2 linked regions of the Oryzias latipes genome follow. The protein of the gene in region 2 binds, or shares a complex with, the protein of the main gene of each other region. Links are inferred from orthologs where the notes say so. Each region holds a gene or a part of one and is shown on either strand. Other genes may lie near its edges.

What was found.
Region 1: synrg (region 2) and aftiphilin share a complex: the UniProt entries of both Homo sapiens proteins name them as parts of the aftiphilin/p200/gamma-synergin complex. The link is inferred for Oryzias latipes from reciprocal best matches to the Homo sapiens genes SYNRG and AFTPH.

What each region holds. Positions count from the first base shown.
Region 1 is NC_019859.2:573,941-578,313, forward strand, and holds the start of aftiphilin, read left to right. Parts: upstream 1-1,565; 5' UTR 1,566-1,848; coding exon 1,849-1,963; intron 1,964-1,980; exon of another isoform or gene 1,981-2,311; intron 2,312-3,437; coding exon 3,438-4,373. UniProt on the Homo sapiens protein: Component of clathrin-coated vesicles.
Region 2 is NC_019871.2:10,180,842-10,184,651, forward strand, and holds part of synrg (synergin gamma), read right to left. Parts: intron 2,482-3,810; coding exon 1,951-2,481; intron 905-1,950; coding exon 741-904; intron 642-740; coding exon 588-641; intron 254-587; coding exon 157-253; intron 1-156. UniProt on the Homo sapiens protein: Plays a role in endocytosis and/or membrane trafficking at the trans-Golgi network (TGN). May act by linking the adapter protein complex AP-1 to other proteins. Component of clathrin-coated vesicles.

The sequences.
Region 1 (4,373 bases), on a different chromosome or scaffold from region 2:
AGGCCTAAGGGGTTATTGTGAGTGGACGCGCTCAGGCCTAAGGGGTTATTGTGAGTGGACGCGCACAGGCCTAAGGGGTTATTGTGAGTGGACGCGCACAGGCCTAAGGGGTTATTGTGAGTGGACGCGCACAGGCCTAAGGGGTTATTGTGAGTGGACGCGCACAGGACTAAGGGGTTATTGTGAGTGGACGCGCTCAGGACTAAGGGGTTATTGTGAGTGGACGCCCTCAGGCCTAAGGGGTTATTGTGAGTGGACGCGCTCAGGACTAAGGGGTTATTGTGAGTGGACGCGCTCAGGACTAAGGGGTTATTGTGAGTGGACGCGCTCAGGACTAAGGGGTTATTGTGTGTGGACGCCCTCAGGCCTAAGGGGTTATTGTGAGTGGACGCGCACAGGCCTAAAGGGTTATTGTGAGTGGATGCGCTCAGGACTAAGGGGTTATTGTGTGTGGACGCGCTCAGGCCTAAGGGGTTATTATGAGTGGACGCCCTCAGGCCTAAGGGGTTATTGTGAGTGGACGCCCTCAGGCCTAAGGGGTTATTGTGAGTGGACGCGCTCAGGCCTAAGGGGTTATTGTGAGTGGACGCGCTCAGGCCTAAGGGGTTATTGTGTCAGGACGCGCTCAGGCCTAAGGGGTTATTGTGAGTGGACGCGCTCAGGCCTAAGGGGTTATTGTGTCAGGACGCGCTCAGGCCTAAGGGGTTATTGTGTCAGGACGCCCTTAGGCCTAAGGGGTTATTGTGAGTGGACGCGCTCAGGCCGAAGGGGTTATTGTGAGTGGACGCGCTCAGGACTAAGGGGTTATTGTGTCAGGATGCGCTCAGGCCTAAGGGGTTATTGTGAGTGGACGCGCTCAGGCCTAAGGGGTTATTGTGTCAGGACGCGCTCAGGCCTAAGGGGTTATTGTGAGTGGACGCCCTCAGGCCTAAGTGGTTATTGTGAGTGGACGCGCTCAGGCCTAAGGGGTTATTGTGAGTGGACGCGCTCAGGCCTAAGGGGTTATTGTGAGTGGACGCCCTCAGGCCTAAGGGGTTATTGTGAGTGGACGCGCTCAGGCCTAAGGGGTTATTGTGTGTGGACGCGCTCAGGCCTAAGGGGTTATTGTGAGTGGACGCCCTCAGGACTAAGGGTTTATTGTGAGTGGACGCGCTCAGGCCTAAGGGGTTATTGTGAGTGGACGCCCTCAGGCCTAAGGGGTTATTGTGAGTGGACGCGCTCAGGCCTAAGGGGTTATTGTGTGTGGACGCCCTCAGGCCTTAGGGGTTATTGTGAGTGGAAGCGCTCAGGGCTAAGGGGTTATTGTGTGCGGACGCCCTCAGGCCTAAGGGGTTATTGTGAGTGGACGCGCTCAGGCCTAAGGGGTTATTGTGAGTGGACGCGCTCAGGACTAAGGGGTTATTGTGAGTGGACGCGCTCAGGCCTAAGGGGTTATTGTGTCAGGACGCGCTCAGGCCTAAGGGGTTATTGTGAGTGGATTAGTGATGAGTTTTAGTGTCTGTGGTTAAAAGTCGAGTCTGAAGTTCAGATGAAGTTCATCTTCATAAAGCTCTGCTCTTCCTCCAAATCCCATCAACCACCGCTTTGCGGGTTTTCATGGACCTGACCTGGGCGGGTCTGACCACAGACGTGTGTGTATGCAGGGCGCTCGTGCTCGCTGACCTCAGGGTTGTCTGACCCGCGGCCGCAGCTTAATGAAGGACCGCCCCTGTGAAGGGTCCACGGAACCACTGGGAGAACCCCGGGAACCCGGAAACTTTCTCTAACTAAGCCAGGTTGCGCTCCGCCACTGAAAGTCACCTGTTTCACCTGGTCAGTATGAGCACGTAGATTGCGCCGGCGCGGTGCATGCTGGGAGACACGGAATCAGGGCAGCAGCGGCGGACTGAAGTGAACCTCCAGCGGGCTCGACCCCGAGGACGGACCCGGAGGAGTCATGAAGCTGACCGGCCAGCGTGTCACGGTGAGTGCCGCGCGCGCTCTACGTCATCCGGGTGCCTGCCATGCACGAGCGGGCTACGGCTAGCAGGAGGAAGCCGCGCGCTGCGCAGCGGTCTCCGGTAACGGAGCAAACTGCGTCAACCTGCGTCGTTTTCCTTCTGGACGTTACCGGATCGATGCGTTTCTCCTTCACGCGGGGATCTACCCGGATGTGTCCCCCCAGTTCCACAGGTTAAACTCTGACTACACATGCTAATGTGGCTAAGCTAAGCTAGCTGCTGTGTGTCGGAGCGCAGAGGACTGGCTCGAACCTTGAACCCGAACCCGTCCTTCTGTCGGTGCCGATGATCTGCGTGGAGAGGCGCGTCAGGTAACAGCACACCTGTGTCCGTGTATTTTTGGTGACGTGTGTGGTGTCTGCTGGACGGTCGGCAGCTCGGTAACCTTAGACCTAGCAGCGTTTGTTAGCCACTGACGTCAACAGGTGAGAAGACGCGTCAGATGCGATCTGAAGGTGAGCTCGTGCTTCAAGCAGCTGTTAGTGGGCGGGAAAAGCACAGTTTAAAGCTAATAAAAGTGTTTACAAATAAAGCGAAACAGCTGCTGTTGTGCTAGCTCTGCAAGTCTCGCGATAGGTTAGCTGGTCTCAGACCGACAGGTGTGATGTTCTCAGGTGAGCTTCCTGCTCAGTACCGTCCTGACAGACTAACAGCCCAAATAAATCTTCAGCGAGTCACTTTAAACGAAAAGTAAAACCGGAAATGAGCAAGTAAACAAACAGGAAGTCGTTTCCATCAGCTGCTGCATGTCTTATTTTGTAGATATTTAAATAATAGACAGGATCCGGATCTAAAGTTGATTTTTCTGATTATCTGGTGTCAAATCAGACCAGGAAGCTGAAGAGGTTCTGCAGAGTTCTGGTTGAGCAGGTTCTGGTGAGGTTGTGCTTTTCTCCCACCATGGAGAACATTTACATTTATGTGACATAAAGTATTTCCGTAAACCCACAAACTACCCCCCCCCCCCCCCCCCCCATGTGGTTTTCCCCAGACGGTTCATAAGAAGTCCAACCTGGTTTGAGCTGACAGGTGTTCAGGCTGGAGCGCTGGCTCCTCCCACTGCACACAGACTAGTTTCCTCTCTTAGGTAGGATGGGGGTGTGCCCTAACCGGTTAGTTTGGTTCTAGCAGAACCCAACCTGGTGTCATGAAGGACAAACAAAATCAATCAGACCATCGGAGGATTACAGTCCAGGTGGTTCTGGTTTACTCGGCCCAAACCCAATTTAATGAATTATTAAATACGCCTGCACACCGCACTTCATCTAGTCTGGTCCTGGTCTTGGTCTGGTTCTAGTCTGGTCCTGGTCTGGTTCTAGTCTGGTCCTGGTCCTGGTCTTGGTCTGGTCATGGCCTGGCCTGACCAATCACAGCACAGCTTCTGTGATTGGCTCACATAACCAGGCGCTGGTGCTCATGCCCCGCCCTCTGTTTCAGGTGTAGCCAGGAGGACGTCCCGCGGCGTCATGGAGCCAGATGTGATCCGCATGTACTCGTCGTCCCCTCCCCCGATGGAGGACGGTGCAGAGGAGGACGAGGACGAGTTCGGAGACTTCGGGACCTTTTCTGGGGTCCCCGGCAGCATCAGCTTCTCTGAGCTCGACACCCCCACGACCTTCAACCAGACCCAGGCCCTGACCGCTACCTCACCCCCGGAGCTCCTGGCCAGCAGGGGGCTGGGCCCCGAGCTGTCCAGGGTGAATGGTGTGGTTCTGGGGGGCGAGCCCGCCAATAGGGCGGAGGTGACGAAGGTGATTTGCTCACTGGACTGCTCCGTGAAGACCGACTGCAACGGCAGGGACTCGGGGGCGATGACCAATGGGTTTGAGAGCCTCAGCGTTCAGGGATCCCCTCCCTCCAGAAATGCTGTCCCTTCTTCTGGGGGGGGCCTGCCCCTGGACGACACGGGGAGCCCCCCCGCCAGTAGTCCTGAAAACGACTTTGCAGATTTTGCGGCGTTTTCTGAAGGGCTCCCAATCCAGACAGAGGACAGCCCTGTTGGGGGGCATCTGCAGGCGGGGGCAGCCTGTCGGAACTGTCAAAATGATCTGGGGGGGGCACCAGGGGACACAATCAGGGACACGAACGGGACCGGATCAGAGGCAGAACTGGAGCAAAGCTGTCCTGCTGAGGCCCCTCCCTCGCCCTCTCAGGAGGTCCCCCTCTCCAGGGAGGCCGAGGCCCCGCCAGCTGTGAATGGGCTGGACGGGGCTGAAGGGGGGCAGGATCAACCGGAGGCCCGGGTGTCCCCGGATGAGACGGAGACGTCCTTGGGCCGGCAGCTGTCCACAAACGACCTGGAGGAGTACGGCGACATGAGCCCCACCTGCTCGGCCCCCTCCCCGCCCATCCAGAGCGGCACCCCCACCGACA
Region 2 (3,810 bases):
GGAACATTTTTAGATCAAAAGATGAGCGGAGTGGGTCTTTAGCAGAAACAAAATGCAGTTTGTACATTTTTCTCTCTTTCCTTGATGCCTAATTCATATGGGTTTGATTTTTGTGAGAGTGCGAGCTCTGTGTGTGCTGTGTGAGCTCTTCCTCACCCAGCAGATACTCCATGCCCTGAGCAGACTGGATGACCTCTGTGCAGACAGCAGAGCTGCTGATGCTGTTCAGGGTGTTGTTGGCTTTGGTGATAACCTTAATATGAACAGACACAAAAACCATCGTAGAGTCAAAAATGCTGTATTACACTATTATCTTGATAAATGTTACAACAAAACAGCCCATCAGTGTTTCAAGGTATGCCTGAAACATTTTTACAGATACAAATTTTATGTATTTTAGTATTTTTCTTCCCCTACAAAGCCTTTTAGAGCATCTCTTTACTGTTTGGACTAAAATAAATATTTTTAAAATGTGTTTTCTATTAAAAGAAAGTGATGTGAAATTCAAACTACTCGCTCTGTTGTTGCAACCAATAAATCCACATTTATTTTTTGCAGTTTTAGAGATCAATTGGACTAACACAAACCTCCAGAGCACTTTCCAGACACCTTTGCCACTCATAAGCATAGCGCTCGCTCTCCTGCAGCAACAAAGTGACAAAATATGAAACGACAAACTTTTATGACACATAGATGTCGGGTCACTGACGCCAGCAGCGAACTGTGGCGGTTTTCCTCACCTCCACCTCTCCGGTCAGGTTTTTGTACTTGTCCCAGATGACCGGCAGGGCTGGTTTTTCGCTTAGCGTGTTGGATCTGTCTCTGAAATGCTGCTCGGGAGCTGGAGACGGCGGCGATCGGCCAATTTCCCTCTCGCCTAAACTGTGACTGCGTTTGTGGGAGCCTAAGGGAAAAAACCAAGGAGACACGGACAATATATTCACTCACTGCGAGGACACTCTGAGAAATGTACCTGTGCATTCGCAGTCATCACTTTTTTTTTTTTTCCATTTTTATTGCAGCCATTACTCTCAGACAGTGCAGAACAGGTAAATGCTTTGGTTCAATAAAAAGCAATAAGGTTCAAATCAGAGGCTCAAATACGACTGAAATGTATGAATAATTCATCAGTATTTTGAGAACGAACACAAACATGTTAAGCGTGAACTGATGTGAGGAAGAATCATCCAGAAACAGGTAATCCGCCACCTTTGGAGCCATGTGTCGCCACTCAAACCAGCATGAAGCCGAACCGTGATAAGATTACAGCTCTGCAGCCAGAGACAGTCTGCTCGCCACAGTAATTAAACCCAGCAGCAACAAATGAATCCGTTCTTGTCACAGATAAGGAAATATTTATTAGACGGAACAGAGGAGCGAGCAGCACCAAAGTGGATACAGTTCATTTCTGCAGGTGGATTTTGTTGGAGGCCATTAATCCGTCTCAGCAGTCATTGCCATTAGAAAGCTGGAATGTCTTTGCAATGCTACCATCTAATGCCTAACAGCTTTACTGCATATCTGATGGCAATGTGGTGATGGAGCGGCACGTCTTTCATTCCTTCCTGAGTTCAAGGGCTTTTAGTTTCTGGAGAGCTCATACCTGGATAACATGACAGGTTTTAGGAGAAAAGATGTAATCTAGATTCACCCCAAAGCCTCACTGTCACAAAATACAGGAAGTCATGTCTGCTTAAGCATTTCACAGTACCAGCTCACTGCATCAACACCAGACCATGGATATTTTCTTAGAACTTCTTAATAATTACTCCAGTTTGGTTGGATTCAAATGTTGATGTTTCAACAAAAGAAAAAAATAACAAACATCTTGCTTTGCTTTTTAACTCAGACTGGGTATGTTTGAAAAACAATAATCACAATTTATTTTATTTTATTGTTGACGGATCTGTGTGGAGAAATGCAGTAAAGTTAGGACACAAGAGGACTTACCTTGAACTGAGAGGTCAAAGGTTGCCAGTTCATTCTTGATCATCTCCTCGCTGGACTTGACTTTGGCCTGAGCGCTGGCTTTAAGGAAGTCTGACTTTTCAAACTTGGGCTTGTCCCCTTGGAAGGCGCCAAACTCGTCTGGGGGCTCGCCTTGTTTCCCCTCAGAGCTGGCCTCCACGGCAGTGGAGTGAGAGTTTTCGGAAACGGTGCTCGCAAAGTCTCCGAAGTCGTCCTCGTCATCAGCTCTGCCTTGGTTGGAGCTGAAGTCGGCAAAGGCCTCAAACTTGTTTGCTTCAGATGCGCCATCCTCTGCGGTGGCCCTTGCTGTGGAGCAGCTCGTGATGTTTTCAGTGCTACCGAAGCTCAGCTGCTTCCTCTGGGATGGGATTAATGATGGAAGGGAACCTCCCTCCACGCCCTGCCGCTTCCTGACCTCACCTGGCAGAGTTTCCTCCCGGTCTGACCAGTCATAGCTAGCCAAGGAGCTGAGGGCGGACGTCCCGAAAGGGTCAAATTTCATGTCGTCTCCTTCTGTAATGACAACACAGACATACGAGTGGTTCCTAGCAGTAGATCAGACGCTGCTGTAGAAGGAATTTGTCTGCAGATCAAAGGATTTTAAAAGTATTTTTTTGTTGTTGCATTGTTTTAGAAATTGTTATTGTGTGGATTTGTCTTACTTTAATTAAAGCAGGCAGCTTTTTTATTTCAATCTGTTCTTAAACTTTCAGAATTCTCAAAATGACGGATGTTTTCAACCTTCCAAACACGTTTAGTGTAGAAGGAAATTATACTATATTTTTGGAGCTTTACGAGGGTCCACATCCATTTTAAACTGTATAGGTTTAATTTTGTGTATGATAAATTCTCTTTGAATTTTTTTGGTTGCTTTTTTCCTGTCTTTATTTTCCATTTTACCGATCCAAAAAAATGATCCGAACCGTGACTCTAAAAGCGTGGCACGACCCGAACCGTGAGTTTCTGATCAGTTACACCCTTAACTATTATTATATTTCTATACAACTATGTCTAAATGTGTAAACCATGTGTAGTTTACACAGGTATAAATTCAAAATCAAATCAAATAGACTGGAAATTATTGGTGATACCCAGCCCTAGTTTACAATGGAACCACAATGTTGATTTGAAAGCCAGAAAAAAAGTACAGAAAGTTTCTCTTGTAAAAATGTGCCATTCCTAAAGTGTATACACTTTAAGACCCTACTGTCTCCCGTCTAATGTCAAACTGTTGACCATTGGTCTTTAATTATGCAGTTCTTAGGCAAAATTTTAAAAAACTGTCATTTTCTGGGACAGTTTCTGCAGAGCGGCTGTAGTACATTAGGAATTCTGCAGAACAACTCCGCCCCGCCCCGCCACGCCTTACTGTCCACTTTGCCAAGAGCTCGCACCGTGGCCCACCCAGCATTTTTTTCAATGTCCCAAATGTGCTCTTTTGAACGGTGCCAGGTTCCCAACAATTTGAATAAAAAAATACTCAGAAATGCAATTTTAAACATAATTTTCCTACGACATGTCCTCATCATCAGAAAAACGTTAAAAACACAGATTTTCATCAGAGTGGGTCTTTAAAGGAACGTCTGAACTGACTGTAGCCATCATTAAACTGTATGATTTCATAATCATTTGGAAATGACGCCACCTTGAGAAATGTTTTACACTTCAAAGCCACGCTAAAAACGATCCACCCATGCATAAAATAAACTCTTATAAAATGGACCCTTTTCACTGTAAATATTTTTTTTCTTAAGGTTTTGCAGGAAAACAGTTGATTTTTGACAAATAAACCACATTTTGGCACTTTATGTTAAAACTAACAAATTTCAAAGCCCAGGATCT